Linked DNA regions of Oryzias latipes. The protein of the gene in region 2 interacts with the protein of the main gene of each other region in a biochemical or structural test. Links are inferred from orthologs where the notes say so. Each region holds a gene or a part of one and is shown on either strand. Other genes may lie near its edges.

Region 1 (3,815 bases), on a different chromosome or scaffold from region 2:
GCAAAACCCCGTTTTCTGTTTAAATGTTGCCCCCATTTATACTTCTCTTTGTTTTTCTTAGCTGATGCTAACTTGAGCATTTCCCGCTTGTCTGTTAGTTCTCCAGTGTTGATGCAGCAATTTAGAAAGTCATGAGAAAACCTACCTCGTTTTTTCATTACAAATTTGATTTTTGAGTTTAATCCGGGGTTTTTTCTCCCTCCTTTTTATTTTCTTTAACAAAAATCCCAAATGACAGAATCTTTTTAACCAAACTATTTTCAGTTGAACATTTCCTTTGGAAATTGGATGAAAGATACAAAATTCTGCTAAATACAAGCTGTAAACGTGTTGGCAGAACAAAGGAGCTGGTGCTTTGTGATGTCATTGACAGTAAAGACGCAGCGCTGTCATGAGGGGAAAAGTTCATACCAAGGTTATGATAGTTAACGAAAACGAACGAAAAAACTCAAACTAGAACTGAAAAAACATTTTCGTTAACTGAAATAAAAATAAAAACGAGAGTTTTAAAAAAAAACGAAAACTAACTAAAACTGTTTGTGTGAATAAAACGAACTGAAACTAACTAATATTAACCCCAAAAAATCCTTCGTTTTCGTCTTTGTTAATACATAAGTCTTTTGGGTTGAAATAAAATCTATTTACTTCACGCTGCTAGTTTTACTGTGTATCTTCTGAACCTTACGGCATCACGTTGTCTGTGACGTCACATGATGTCTGTCAGACACTGCCGGCTAGCGTGGTCATAGACATTTACATGAGCGTGATGGCTGCATTAAAAGTTGGGAGAAAGCGGGAGAGTCCTATTTGGGACTGTTTTGAATATAACAGCGTCGAAAACAAAAGTAAGTGCCTTGTAGTCGAAGCAGGAGACAAAGTTTGTGGAACGCTCCTCAAAGGGAAAAACCCTACGAATCTAAAAGTACATTTAAAAAGCGCACACTAAAACGCAAATCAACAGTACCTAGACAAGCTAGCCTGTCGCCCGCCCTCCCCCGAAAAAGAAGCGAGAGCAGGTAACGTAATGCTGTCATCGGCTGTTGTATTTTCATTTAAGGATGGTTGTCCTTGAGTCCTCTGAATAATAAATGTTTCAAAATGTATCTTTGATTGAGTTTTTATTATAAAATACTTACTCTGGTGATTTTGAATCATGCACCTGACAAATATCCTAATTTACAAAAAAAAAAGGAAAAAACTAAAACTAACACTAAAACTAATACAAACTAAACTAAAACGAAGCAATTTCAAAAAATAAAAACTAGTAAAGCTGCCTCTAAAAACTAATTAAAACTAAATAAATTTAAAAACAAAAATTCAAAACGAAATAAAAACTAAAACTAATAAAAAATTTGAAACTATTATAACCTTGTTTCATACACAGTTTTTATAAATGTTCTTAGAAATCATTTACCGTAGTTACATTTATCCGCCGCGTCTTAAAGTTCCCTCCCTCCCCGGAAAGTTCCCTTTCCCTCCTGAAAAGATAGTCTGACTTCAAATGTGGTTAAATGTAGGCGACAAACAGAGCAGCTGATTAGCATAGCATGACAGGATTCAGCATGGTAGCATCAGTGTTTTAACGTCACCGCTGTCCCAGAATCAACACTTTTTATTCAACTTTCTGTTGATGCTGTAAGTCCAACAGCTTCATCATCCACTTCTGTCTGGATCCTGTTAAAAATCCTCACATGTTGCTGCTTCAGCAGCTTCAACTAAAAGCTAAACGGAGGCATTCATACATTTTGTGTAACGTTCTCCTGAGAGACTACCTTTCCCAGAATGCTTTGTGGGAAGTGGCCACAGTCGGGGACTGCCACATAGCTCCTGACTGACATCATCAGCTATTCCGAGTCCTCCTCAAAGAGGCTTTGTTCCTTCAGCGTGAGTTTGTGTCATTTGGAGTGCGAGGGGGGAAAAAAAGAAGAGATGGAGGGTTAGAAAAGAAAAGAGTTCTGTTCAGAGGCAAACAAGCTAACTGAGGGATCATCCTTTGCTGTTCAGACACAGCATTTTCACTGGAAGGGCCTTAAAAAGTCAAGACTGCAGTGATTGGGTTGTAAACAGTGGAGCTGAACCATTTAGAAAAACTAGTCTATGAAAGACATTTCAGTGGTTTGGCCCTGGAGTCTGAGCGTCCTTCAGACACAGGAAGCGGGGGAGGATGGGGCTCTGAGAGCCAGAACTGAGGCTCTACTATCTCCCTGTGACTCCAGCTGAGGACTAACCCTCTGCCTCGTACACAGCCTGAGGCTCAGTTTCCCCATAACTTCATGCAGCATGGACTTCCCTGTTGTCGTGTCCACCTGTCTGTCCTCTCACTCGCTCGTCCTCTGGTCCTTTGCAGAGTATGGACTCGTCAGACTTGTCCGATGGTCCCATAACCCTGCAGGAGTACCTGGAGGTGAAGAAAGCTCTGGCCTCCTCAGAAGCCAAGGTGCAACAGCTGATGAAGGTCAACAACAACTTGAGTGAGGAGCTCCGGCGCCTCCAGAAGGAGGTACGAGGAGGCAGTGGAGTCACGGAGTTACAGGAAACCAAATGATCTGATTATCCGTTTTCATTTAAAGCTGTTTGTTTGTATTTGTTTTAGGTTATAAAAGTCGTATTTTTAAGCCCAAGGGTTCAACAATTTTACGCCACTTTTTGTTCATTTTAAAGCAATAATGATGTGAAATTGATTCTCAAAAATGGATGTTTTCATACGTCTTTGTTGTTCATTAGTGAAAAGATGTCACGTAACCCTTGTGCTATCCTAGGCACTTCAACATTGGGAGTTGGGTCATCTAGTCCAGTGTTTTTCAATCAGAGACCAGAGATGGTCAAGTGTGCCGTGGGAAATTGCCCTCATTAACTGATCTAAAAACATTTCCCATCTCCAGGATTCAGCTCTGTGTTCATCCAAACAGGCCCTGATAAAACACTGAGTAGTTAGGAATATAAAAGATCATAAAATTATTTTTTCTTTGTGTTCATTTTATTCAATTAAAGACATTTTGATAAGAATGACGGTACCGCGATTTAGCTGCAGCTAAAGCCGCTTGCGGCAAAGTCCCGCCCCTCTGACTGTCTACGCCAATCATTCTTGACGGCTTAATCACATGTCATCAGTCTGACCAATCACAAGTGGTTAAAGTCTCCACTTCCTTGTTCCGATTTAGCTCATAAAGTCTCTCCGTTCTAAAGGAAAATACCAGCCAAAGCTCGTCTTTAGCGGTGTAGCTTTCCACAGAATCCGGTATCAGACCGTGGAACAAGTGAACAAAACATTGAATCGATCAATACAGACTTATTTTTTTTTTTTTTTTGGATGCTGGTGTGCCGCGGGGTCTTTGTCAGGGTTAAAGTGTGCCGTGGCTCAAAAAAGGTTGAAAAACACTGATCTAGACCCAATAGACAGTGCTCTGAACCTTTTTTCTTCAATGATTTGTGACCTTCACTGGTGTCCATGGATTACATGAAATCTTTCCACCTTTATCCACCTTTGTCATGGTAGGGAGAACAGGTCAACGTAAGGGTGGGGTCATCTAAGATAGCACAAGGGTTAAGCGCCCTTTTTGGGGGGAGATTGATTTGCAGGGCAGCTTTTCGAAACCTCCAGTGTTCTTGCTGAGAGGCTGCAGACAACGTCCCACATTTTGGTTGAGTTTTGACGCGCCTCATTCGTCTGTCATCTTTTATTTGGACTTTTCACTGAGTGTTGAGAACAAAAGCTCAGAAGCAAACATTCAACTATCAGACCATCCAGCAGCAGCGCTCTGCAAACGAGCCGTTCCTTCATCAGGCTCAGGCAGGTCCCCAATACAAATGAGAGA
Region 2 (3,815 bases):
AAATCACCTTTTCCTGATTCTGCCTCCAGTGGATTCATTTCAACATCAAATCAGAAGAGAAACAGAATAAAAACAGGATCATGTTCTGGATTCTACTCATTGACGGTAAAGTTGTTCTCACGAGGGGGGGGTCTTTTTTCAGCTCAACGCTGGGCTCTGTAATGTTACAAGAGCCAGCAGAAAGTGTCTGTTATTATATTTATAAAATACAGTTTTTATTAATGTTCTATGAATTCTTTTTGTGGCATTTATCCTCCACGTCTTAAAGTTCGCTCTGTGAAAATATGGTCTGACTTTAAACCGGTCCGTGATCAGATGTAGGCGACACACAGCAATAAAGCATCTGAGTATTTTAGCATGATAGCATGGTTGCATGATAGCATGGTAGCATCAGTGTCACCACATCGCTGTCTCCATATCAACCCTCTTCCCTAAACATTCTGTTGCTGCTGTAAGTCCAGCAGGGACACACACAAAAAGGGCTTATTCCTATTATTGTTGTTTGGTCTTATATGTGTGTTTGATAGTAACAATTGTTTCTTTATTGTGCAACTGAATGTGAATTTCTGTAAATTGAAAAATGTGCAATAAAGGTTATTGAGAGAAAAAAATTCTCCTCTAGGTCTTTCTGGAGCCTGGTACAAACCCTCACATGTTCTGCTGCTTCATCGGGTTAAACTAAAAGCAGAGGCAACTAGCAGAAGTTATGGGGTAAGGGGCAATTCTCGCGGTTCCTGTGCTTGTTTTTTTTTCCCCTCTGCCTCACAAAAGGCATTAAACCTCACATAAATCAGCCTTTGGTCCCTCACAAGGGTGGCTGGTGCAGGCATCAAAAACATGAGGGACAAAGAAACATCACACAAAGTTCTTTATGAGATTCATTTCAACGCATTTGTATAAAGCTCAAATGGCCTCACAGCATTTACTAACCTGGTGTGACATGATTTCTGCAAAGTCTGACTGAAGCGATCTCAGATAACATCTGGAACCTGCTATATGTACCACAGTCCTCGGATGAAGGACATCAGGTAGATTCATGCATGAACAAACAGCCTCTGAGCTCTTGAGACTTCAATAAATACTAAACAAAGTCCAGTGTAGCCGCACTTCTTCTAACTTGGAGCCGAAACACCCCGTTTACATCCTAAGCCCCAAACAGAGTTTGTAGTGTTTACTCACTTCTTTGTGTGAAATGGCGAGTTCTTCCTCCAAAGCGCTGCATCGCTCCAGAGCAACACGAAGACGCTCTCTTACCTTCAAAGGTGGAACATAAACCTTTTTAACTTCATTCATCCTTATCAAGCACAGTATTCTACCAGGAGCTGTTGGACATTCCCTACAAAAACACACCTTCTCATCAAGGGCTTTGTGGTGTTCAAAAAGTGACTTGAGAGCCTTGAGGACCTCCACCTCGCTGGAGACACCAGCAGGAGACTGAGCCTGCCTCTTCACCACGGTCATCCTCAGACTGCGCTCGTGACGCGACACCAGGCACTCCAGGTGTTCCAGCAGGAGCTGCACACACCACAGACAGGGAGGACCAGAGTGAAGCCTCGCTCCTGCTCTCAAACTACACATTTTGGAAACCATGAACTGTTTTTTGTCTCCATAAGATTTGTTGTCAATGTTAAACAGTAAAAGAGTTTTTGTTTTGACAACTGTTGCTAGCTAGATCCAAGGAAAAAGGTGTGCATCTCACTCACCCGGGTGTTGTTCCTCTCCGCCTTCAACTCGGCGATCTCCTCCTCTTTCTCCAGAAGCTGCTCCCGGCACACGTTCACCTCCTTTGTTAGTGCAGCAAACTCCTAAAGAAGCATGAAGCACAAAGAGAACAGGGGGCATGCAGCCGTTACTGATGCGCTGTGCACCGTGAGGCTTCATGGCGGAGAAACCCTCCGCTCTCATGTAAACACAGACAGACATTTCAATCACAGCAGAACTCTGGCATCATAGGAAACCCAGAAATACAGAGAGCACTGCAGAGAAGGTTTCACTAACTCAGAGAAGGTTTCACTAACTCAGATAATGTGTCACTAGCTCAGAGAAGGTTTCACTAACTCAGAGAAGGTTTCTCTAACTCAGAAAAGGTTTCACTAACTCAGAGAATGTGTCACTAGCTCAGAAAAGGTTTCACTAACTCAGAGAAGGTTTCTCTAACTCAGAAAAGGTTTCTCTAACTCAGAAAAGGTTTCACTAACTCAGAGAATGTGTCACTAGCTCAGAGAAGGTTTCTCTAACTCAGAAAAGGTTTCACTAACTCAGAGAATGTGTCACTAGCTCAGAGAAGGTTTCTCTAACTCAGAGAAGGTTTCTCTAACTCAGAAAAGGTTTCTCTAACTCAGAAAAGGTTTCTCTAACTCAGAAAAGGTTTCACTAACTCAGAGAATGTGTCACTAGCTCAGAGAAGGTTTCTCTAACTCAGAGAAGGTTTCTCTAACTCAGAAAAGGTTTCTCTAACTCAGAAAAGGTTTCACTAACTCAGAGAATGTGTCACTAGCTCAGAGAAGGTTTCTCTAACTCAGAAAAGGTTTCACTAACTCAGAGAATGTGTCACTAGCTCAGAGAAGGTTTCTCTAACTCAGAGAAGGTTTCTCTAACTCAGAAAAGGTTTCTCTAACTCAGAGAAGGTGTCTCTAACTCAGAGAAGGTTTCTCTAACTCAGAGAAGGTTTCTCTAACTCAGAGAAGGTTTCTCTAACTCAGAGAAGGTTTCTCTAACTCAGAGAAGGTTTCTCTAACTCAGAGAAGGTTTCTCTAACTCAGAGAAGGTTTCTCTAACTCAGAGATGGTTTCTCTAACACAGAGAAGGTTTCTCTAACTCAGAGAAGGTGTCTCTAACTCAGAGAAGGTTTCAGTAACTCAAAGGAAGATTTCATTAACTCAGAGAATGTGTCACTAGCTCACAGAAGGTTTCACTAACTCAGGGAAGGTTTCACTAACTCAGGGAAGGTTTCACTAACTCAGGGAAGGTTTCACTAACTCAGGGAAGGTTTCACTAACTCAGGGAAGGTTTCACTAACTCAGAGAAGGTTTCTCTAACTCAGAGAAGGTTTCACTAACTCAGGGAAGGTTTCACTAATTCAGAGAAGGTGTCACTAACTCAGGGAAGGTTTCACTAACTCAGGGAAGGTTTCACTAACTCGGGGAAGGTTTCACTAACTCAGGGAAGGTTTCACTAACTCAGAGAAGATTTCACTAACTCAGAGAAGTATCACTAACTCAGAAAAGGTTTCACTAACTCAGGGAAGCTTTCACTAACTCAGGGAAGGTTTCACTAACTCAGAGAAGGTGTCACTAACTCAGGGAAGGTTTCACTAACTCAAGGAAGGTTTCACTAACTCAGAGAAGGTTTCACTAACTCAGGGAAGGTGTCACTAACTCAGGGAAGGTTTCACTAACTCAGGGAAGGTTTCACTAACTCAGAGAAGGTTTCACTAACTCAGGGAAGGTGTCACTAACTCAGGGAAGGTTTCACTAACTCAGGGAAGGTTTCACTAACTCAGGGAAGGTTTCACTAACTCAGAGAAGGTTTCACTAACTCAGGGAAGGTTTCACTAACTCAGAGAAGGTTTCACTAACTCAGGGAAGGTTCCACTAACTCAGAGAAGGTTCCACTAACTCAGAGAAGGTTTCACTAACTCAGATAATGTGTCACTAGCTCAGAGAAGGTTTCACTAACTCAGAGAAGGTTTCTCTAACTCAGAAAAGGTTTCACTAACTCAGAAAAAGTTTCACTAGCTCAGAGAAGGTTTCACTAACTCAGAGAAGGTTTCTCTAACTCAGATAAGGTTTCTCTAACTCAGAGAAGGTTTCACT

Evidence for each region.
Region 1: the proteins of liprin-alpha-1 (region 2) and git1 form a complex in vitro, tested with the Homo sapiens proteins (2 studies listed by BioGRID). The link is inferred for Oryzias latipes from reciprocal best matches to the Homo sapiens genes PPFIA1 and GIT1.

What each region holds. Positions count from the first base shown.
Region 1 is NC_019871.2:27,394,232-27,398,046, reverse strand, and holds part of git1 (ARF GTPase-activating protein GIT1), read left to right. Parts: intron 1-2,347; coding exon 2,348-2,500; intron 2,501-3,815. UniProt on the Homo sapiens protein: GTPase-activating protein for ADP ribosylation factor family members, including ARF1.
Region 2 is NC_019861.2:2,121,470-2,125,284, reverse strand, and holds part of liprin-alpha-1, read right to left. Parts: intron 1,806-3,815; coding exon 1,704-1,805; intron 1,516-1,703; coding exon 1,351-1,515; intron 1,255-1,350; coding exon 1,180-1,254; intron 1-1,179. UniProt on the Homo sapiens protein: May regulate the disassembly of focal adhesions. May localize receptor-like tyrosine phosphatases type 2A at specific sites on the plasma membrane, possibly regulating their interaction with the extracellular environment and their association with substrates.